Linked DNA regions of Drosophila melanogaster. The protein of the gene in region 2 purifies or fractionates together with the protein of the main gene of each other region. This does not show direct contact. Each region holds a gene or a part of one and is shown on either strand. Other genes may lie near its edges. The genes, in order: CG17768 and CG3224.

Region 1 (4,669 bases), on a different chromosome or scaffold from region 2:
CCACAAAACCAAATTCCCCCACATCCTCAGCAGCAACAGGATTTATTTTTGCAGCATTTGGCTCAACAGCAAAATTCCCAGAGTGGTGGTAAGTGGGGCAACCAAGAGTTTACATATCAACAGTCGATTAAAATGCATCGGATTGTGTACTTGCAGGTTTCAACAACCAGGCACAGCAAATGCTTCCTATGGGGATGCCCAATAGTTTGCTGAACGGACAACAAACGCAGCCGCCACAGGTCAATGCCAATGTTCAGGGCATGCTTGAGTTTTTAAAAAGCCGTCAATTCGTTTAGCTACAATACATATAAATAATACATTTGTTTACCTGTACTCTTTATTAAATATTTCTTAAAGTAAATATAGGCAAAATAAAATTCGAATATAATGAAACTACATGATACAAACAAACAGACGGTCCAGTGAAATTCAGCCTACTAAAAGCATTTGTGCAGCAAGCGAAACACTTGGATGCCGTCTCCCCGCGCCGGACGTGTCCGCATGAATCCAATTATAGTATCCAATAAACCCCGTTCAGGGTGTAGTCTGCTTGGCAATAGTGAAGCCCCCAGTGATTTTTCAAACTTGAAACCAACTCATTCCAATTGCTCGCTGGATAAAAGACAGATTACCATGGCAATAAGTAGCAAAGAAAACCTCGTGATGTGAAATTATCGAGACTGTGTAAAAATGTCAACTTTTTAATAATAAATACGTGACTTGAAATGGTTGAAAAGAATTTATTACTACGATCCGAAGAACTATTTCCTATTTTTGGCGGCGTGGGGCAGACGGTTCCCTTGGCCAGCAGCGCCACCCAGGCGCATCGCGTTGTTAGCAGCACCTCCGTATCCCTGGCCGGGACGATTGCCGACATTGTTGCGGTTGCCGCCACCAGGACGTCCGCCGCGCTGATTTTGCGACGAGTTGCCGCCGCGGTTTTTGTTCATCTCTGTGCGATTCCTTGACTTGGCCTGCGCGTCCTCCTTGACCATGTCGATTACTTCGTCGGGGATTCGCAGATATTTGATGGTGCTCCCGCGGATATAACATTCGGGCATGCGCCAAAACCGATCGCCATCCTGCAAAGTACACATACACATATTGGTATAAACAAGCTCTTCATGTTATCATTTTTCCGGCTGTTTACAAATCAATGCGATTGTATTTATGTATATACCAGTTGTCGCATATTTTGCACACCGGCAATCTACATATTAATTACATATACATACATATTTAATTAAAATATTACCTTTGAGGTGCAAATAACATCGCGCAGATTAATATTCATCCACGAGTCGCAACTAACCAGGTGACCATTGTATGTTTCACCATTTTTCAGCTCCACCAACTAAGTGAATTAGATTAAACAATTATGTGTATGACTAATGTGTGCAAATCCAAACATCTTACCATGGGATGGCTCTGTGCTGTTTTTAAAAGTGAAAGTGGCAGCTAAAACACATGAAAATTAATCATTTTTCTCTTTATTTACCATAAAATAATATTGCTTACCATTTTCGTGAAGTAATCGATTAATACAGCGATAACATGAAATCGGAAGAGATGTCAATCACTTTGTTGGAACGAAATGAATATGAAACACATGCTTATAAAGATAGCGTGTTCTGTTTTTTTTTGATTTCTTATAACATAATTTTAAATGGTAACCAAGAGAGAATGCTATAGTAGACTTCCCCGACTGTCAGATACCCGTTACTCAGCTAGTGTAAATTTCATCCTTTTTCTGGGATAATAATAGGGAGAAAAGATTTTAAAATTGTTTTGAAAGTGTGGGCGTGACCGCCTTGGCGGCTTTAAGGCGCTAGATTGAGTATGGCAAAAAGGACAGTCGGCGGGACAGTCGGATTAAATACTTCACCAAATGGATAAAAAAAACATGTAACTTATTTTAAAGCCAACCGGCTTTGCAATGACTGCAATTCATTTAGTAAGAGAGCAATATTATAGCGCACTTGTTGAAACATGGACAGTGGCAATTCTAAAGTTCGATATTCCTTATTTTGGAGCTTGAAGTGGAGGACTATTGTAGGTTTATCAATTTGCACGGTACTAGAAAATAAATTAGTAAAGTGAAGTAAAAATAAAATAGCGGTAAGGTTAAATACTTACTTTAATGATAAGGAAATGTTGATTCTCCATTGCAACTTTGACATTTTGACACGGTCCATTTTAGTATCTGAAAAGTTCTTGCTCAGTACGTCTCGATGGTTAAGCAAAACTTTGCAGATATCTTCAACATATTCTTCTGTTAAACTATTGACGAGATAAATAACAATTATGTTAGTGACGGTCAAGTTTTCCAAGTACGTATGCATTTGAATACTTACTTTAAATCGTCCATTAAACATTTTCGCAGCTCATGATGCTTCACCACGCCCTTGGGATATCTTAAAAAGATTTGCATTGTCAAGAAAACCATTGTAAAAAGTTCACAAAAGTTCGGAGGGATTTCGTGACCTCCATTTGTTAGTTTATTTAGTGCCAGGGAAAGCACTTCCGACGAAGACTTCTTTGATTCAATGTAGTGCACAGACACTTGAATAAGGACACGCAACATAGACTTAGTCAATTGCGGAGTGAATGAAGTGTATGGCTTTACACTCCTTAATAGATTATATCTAAACGTAGACGACATATTGCATACTCATAAATTTTGTACAAAAACATAAACAAACTAGAAATGCTACGTCTTCGATATGAGTTATTTTGATATTCGATGCTCACAATCGATATTAATCGTACTGTTTTTTTGTTTTTAATTAACAGAAATGGATTATTTGCATAAATTAAATTAAAAAGAAAAAAACTCTAGCTATGATTTTTGATATTAGCCTTAATAAAATAAGAAACTAAACATGTTATTTTGGCGTTTTAAAATTTACTGCAATTAGGTTACCCGTTTTGGTAAAGATTTTCAATAATTCGGTTGTTTATTAAAGAAATATTTACATATGTTATTACCCACTTGAATTTTGTTTAAATTACTACTAACTGGTTTAGTTTTGCCATAAGTGTTGGGAGAAGTTTACTTTCTCATTAAAAATTTATGATCCAATTTTACCTGTCAATCAAAGCTACACTTTAAATCAATTAAATTATTTCTGATTAGAGGGTATAGAAGCTGCATAGTAAATTATGAACCAATTGAAATTAGAATGGGTAATTAGCACCTGCAATTCATGCTGTCAATCAAACAGAAGACCTTACTATAAAATGGCACAACATTCCCAGCAGGATAAACAATAGTAAAATGAATCTCTTAATCAGTATGTTTATTTTAATACTAGCTGCAGGCGAGGGTGAAATAATTCCGAGTATGGAAGAATCCGTTGTAACTAATTTCGTTAAAAGTCTAGTAAAAACCAAGCAAGCAATAGTGTTTTCGTGTTTATTTAAAGGTAAGCAATGTGCTAAGTTACAATAAAGGTATTCATAATATATTTATTGATAGATTTTAAAGAAATCTCTCTTGCATTGATGCGAATTAATCAATTTGTGAGCGTAGTTAACCTTAACCAAAGTTATTCACTAACATCGATATTGACTCGGGAAAATTACGCTCGAACTTCTGTGATGGTAAATGCCAGATGCAGTGGATCATCTGAACTTCTTTTTGAAGCCTCTGAAAATAGGTATTTCAACAAAACCTATCAGTGGTTTCTCTGGGGTGTTGATCTCGAGGTTCAATCCCTATTTCCTTTAAATCTCAACTATGTTGGTCCCAACGCCCAGATAACCTATGTTAATGAAACCGCAGATGGTTATGCGTACTGGGATATTCATTCGAAAGGACGACACTTGAAGTCGAATTTGGAAATAAATTTAATAGCAACATTGATAAACGATACATTGAATATAGCTCGCGATATTTTCCATTTGCAAAGTATTGATTTTCGCGGACAATTTAATGGATTAACTCTAAGAGGAGCAAGTGTTGTAAGTAATGAATAAGTACTATAACTCATTAGATTTTAGCCATTTCAATTATGGATACTAGATCGACAAGGAGGATATAATCTCAAATGAACAAATTGAATCAATACTTTCGCGACCAACTAAGGATGCTGGAGTGGCTGCATTCATAAAGTATCACTACGAGCTTCTGGGACTTCTGAGAGAACGTTTCAATTTCACTGTTAACTTCCGAAATTCTAGAGGATGGGCTGGACGTTTGGGCAATACTACCTTTCGACTTGGACTCTTGGGAATAGTTATGCGAAATGAGGCAGATATAGCCGCATCCGGTGCCTTCAATCGAATTAATCGCTTTGCTGAGTTTGATACCATACACCAAAGTTGGAAATTTGAGACAGCTTTTCTATACCGCTACACTTCCGATTTGGATACTCATGGAAAAAGTGGTAACTTTCTGTCGCCATTCAGCGACAGAGTTTGGTTGTTCTGTCTATTAACCCTTGGTGCTTTTAGCATCATTTGGGTGCTATTTGAAATTATCGACTACAAGATATTGCGTATACGAGTTAATAGTCAAAAGCTGGAACATTTAAATCAGAAAAGTTCGGTGATTTGCATTAAGACCACATGCATTGAACGAATTTTACAGACATTTGGAGCCTGCTGCCAACAGGGATTGGACCCAAATCCTGTAGATCGTTCAGTGCGCTTTTTGGTAATGACACTG
Region 2 (3,429 bases):
ACTCATAAAATTAAAGTGTAAATTTAAATGACTCACCCTTTTCAAAATAAATCCATGCAATTAAAGTTGTACATTATTTAATTTCACATTTATTGAGCACAAATCACCTAAAAAAAAATATAAAAAAAAACACAAATACTCTCACATTTTGATGAGCCATTTCACAACAAAACACTCGCGATGGCAAAATGCACAAGATCACCGCTCTAAAACGTAGCATACTCTTAAGTGCACATGAGAATGCCAGTTGAACACGCACCAACACACCCACACACGCGCCAACGGAGAATGAGCCCAAAGGAGAATGAGGAAATTGCAGAAATTTACCAATTTCACCCGTTTAAACTAGAAATACCGTATCAAACGCATTGCGTCGACCTGCGCTCACTGGTTAATTACACTTTGTAGCACTTTTCGACAGCAAACGACGCTGATATTTATTTAATTTTAATTTTAAAGCGCGTCAGCCATCGCATTTTGTGTTTACCGCTGCTCACGGACGAAGAAAGTGACCGCTTGCGGAGAGAACTTGAACTTTTGAGCTGCAGGAGAGAAATCAAAAGAACGGTAAATAAAGCTTTGCCGCTTGGAAGCGTTGAACTGCTTGTTGTTTAGAAGCTTGTTGATCTTTCGCCACCCTTGCGCGCATTAAATGAAAATTAATTTTGAATCGATTTATATATGTTGGAAAAAAAATGTATTTAAAGAAAGCAATTGGAGGTAAACAGAGTTCTGTGGGAGGGGGGTGAAGAAAGTCCTGTCCCCGAGGGCCTTAAAAACTAAGCTAGATCAATAGATTGGTTCATCCTCCTCGCCTATGTCTCCATTTTCTCGACTTTCTTGCGCTTCGTTTTGGACGTCGATGGCGAATCGGTGGCATCTGTATCCTCGGGCACCACTTCCACTCGGATCCTCTTGCCAGCGACCACGTCCTCCTTCGATGGCTGCGTTTCCATCGCCCGCTTCTTGGGCTTCACGAAGCTGCCACGTCCCGCGGCGCGTTCCGCCTCCTCGATGCTGTACGGCTCGATCTCTAGGGCCTTGAGACGCCTCTTGTGCACCTTGGTGCGGAAATGTGCCTGCATGGCGGTGTCATCGATGAAGTACTTGGCACAGTGCACGCAGTAGAACTGCGCGAATCCCGGCTTGTCGAGATCCACATTCTGATTGATCAGTTCACCGCTCCGGGTCTGCAGATCGTCGTCGATCTGGTCGAGATCACGACGTCGATTCCGCACACGCCATCTCCTCTGCAGATGGGTATCGCCATAGTGCATCTTCTTGCGTTTCGATACCATTCCCATCTTGCTGACTTTTTTTTATATTTACAACTTTTACGGAAAATTTAATCGTTTGTTTTGGCACGTGTTTTGGTTGCCAATGGGGTTTTAGATTCTGCTGCTGCTGCTAGGTGTTTCCTAAAACCTGTAATGCATTTGAATGTTAATTTATATACTGTTACAGTAATTTGTTGCTTAACTTTACCTTTTTTTGGTTAAGAAACGAGGGTTTTAAAGGTAACAAGTTAATTTAATGCGCACATAGAATGTTGGCGACGGTCCCCGGCCGATTGGTTTCTTATCGATAACTGAAGAAATCGTGGTGTGTGCACACTGATACACAGCTGTTTTTATTTATTCGAAATAAAACTAAATTCAACCAAAACTAATTAAACTAAAATTCCATAAATTAGCTACTTGTTGCGACAATAAGTTGTATAAGTTACTCATTTTTAAGCTGCACTCCATCTACTTCGTCTTTTACAATACTATTTTTTGGCATTATTTAGTGCCTTTTCGTAGGCAGCGCACTGTTAAATAAAAAAACATATGCTTGCAATTAATTCATCAACAATCGTGCGAACAAGTTGTCTGCGGGCGGACCGTGCGCATTTTGTTTTAATATTATTTATTTCCTTGCCGCAGGAAGTAAAGTAAGCCCCTAACATTTGAATACATAAACATAGAGTTCGGTTTAACTTGCGTTGATAAAGTGCAATTGATAATACAAATAGTGGGTGTGTGGGCTGGACGCACACACACATGTGTGATTGGATAACAACACTGTGAAATAGATCGGGTTTTACACTTGCAAAAACGATTAAAGCAATTATTATTTTTCATAAGATGCTGCAGCCGGTCCACTCTTGCTATCTCGCTTGCTTCAAAAGCTCAGCGTTTGCAGTGAGTGTGTGTGCGTGTGTGATTTAGCGCAAAAAGCAACAACGAAGCACAAAATAAAATCAGAAACTGTGATTGTTGTTAAATGACTGGTGCAGGGGGTTGGGTGGGTGTCAACGGCAGCTGCATGCATTGTTTAAAATGTACGACTGTTGGCTTATTGGCATTTTTCGTTGACTCTCTGTTTTTAGCTAGACATTCCGTTGAGTTCGTCACTTAAACCGGTGTTACAGCATACATACATACATACATTGTAGATTGTTACAACTCGAGCCAATTGCCCGCCAATTGCAGTAAGTACAACAACAACAAAAAGAACGCGAAATGCGTGAAATAGTATAAACGAAACTAAAAACAAAGCTTAGGAGTCCTTATCGATAATCAGCGATTGCATACCGATTGTGATTATCAGTGCCAATCGCTTATCAGTCAATTATACCGTTACAAGCACAATTAACCCTCTATCTGTGTTCGTGCGTTGAGTGATATATGTATGTTCGAATTCAGATCAACAAACTCTCTCCTACTCTCTTTTCTTTACACATGTGATATAATAGCTCCCCCGGCCTGCAATAGAAAAAAAACACACGCACTCTCGCCGTTTCTCTCCCATTTGTTGCTGCAATACATGTCGGTCACGATTTGACATTTCGCAATTGGTGCGATTGTGAGTGTGTGTGTGTGTGCAGGAGCAGAGGATGGGGCTCTCTTGGCGGAGATCAGCTGATGAGATGAAGCAACGGTTAATGCCATTTGTCCATGCAAATAAACAGAAAGAAAAAAGTTTACGTTGCTAGATCGTTTAAATTTCACTTGATATTTGGAACTAAATTAAATTTTAATTCAATTCTTATTTTAATTCTTTAATATAATATGAATAATGAATCACACTTCATCACGTCGTGAAATTCCATTTTCAAACTTATATCAAAATATCTTAGCTATTTCGCTGAGTCTTAGCATTTAGCATAATAGAAATATTACTGGTAAACGCAGATTATTCATTATTACTTGCCCAAAATAGAACTAGAAAATATACAAATCTTAAACAATATTTAGTGATAATGGTTTATTTCATGATAAGAGTAACAAATGCTTTTCTCTCTGTGTAAAGGCAAAGCTACTAATGCAGGCGAATAAAAGCGAGAGTGATAGAGGTGAATAGGTCCAACCGGTTTGGTCCCAGTGCGTTAGTTTTCTGCTGTTTAATTATCAGAGGCGCTGAAAAGGGGGTTCCCATTGCCTCCCA

What was found.
Region 1: the proteins of CG3224 (region 2) and CG17768 purify together in Drosophila melanogaster (affinity purification with mass spectrometry, with the first as the bait; one large-scale study listed by BioGRID). This does not show direct contact.

The regions. Positions count from the first base shown.
Region 1 is NT_033779.5:10,402,475-10,407,143, forward strand, and holds CG17768 (uncharacterized protein), read right to left. Parts: upstream 2,730-4,669; 5' UTR 2,663-2,729; coding exon of another isoform or gene 2,355-2,662; intron 2,281-2,354; coding exon of another isoform or gene 2,137-2,280; intron 2,077-2,136; coding exon of another isoform or gene 1,911-2,076; 5' UTR 1,522-1,910; coding exon 1,519-1,521; intron 1,459-1,518; coding exon 1,417-1,458; intron 1,355-1,416; coding exon 1,256-1,354; intron 1,083-1,255; coding exon 762-1,082; 3' UTR 723-761; downstream 1-722. Other genes in the region: Cnot4 (CCR4-NOT transcription complex subunit 4), read left to right, coding at 1-88, 157-296; LSm-4 (uncharacterized protein), read right to left, coding at 1,911-2,076, 2,137-2,280, 2,355-2,662; Ir31a (ionotropic receptor 31a), read left to right, coding at 3,278-3,425, 3,479-3,963, 4,025-4,669.
Region 2 is NC_004354.4:6,659,869-6,663,297, forward strand, and holds CG3224 (uncharacterized protein), read right to left. Parts: upstream 1,595-3,429; 5' UTR 1,486-1,594; intron 1,426-1,485; 5' UTR 1,305-1,425; coding exon 816-1,304; 3' UTR 684-815; downstream 1-683. UniProt on the Drosophila melanogaster protein: Involved in pre-60S ribosomal particles maturation by promoting the nuclear export of the 60S ribosome.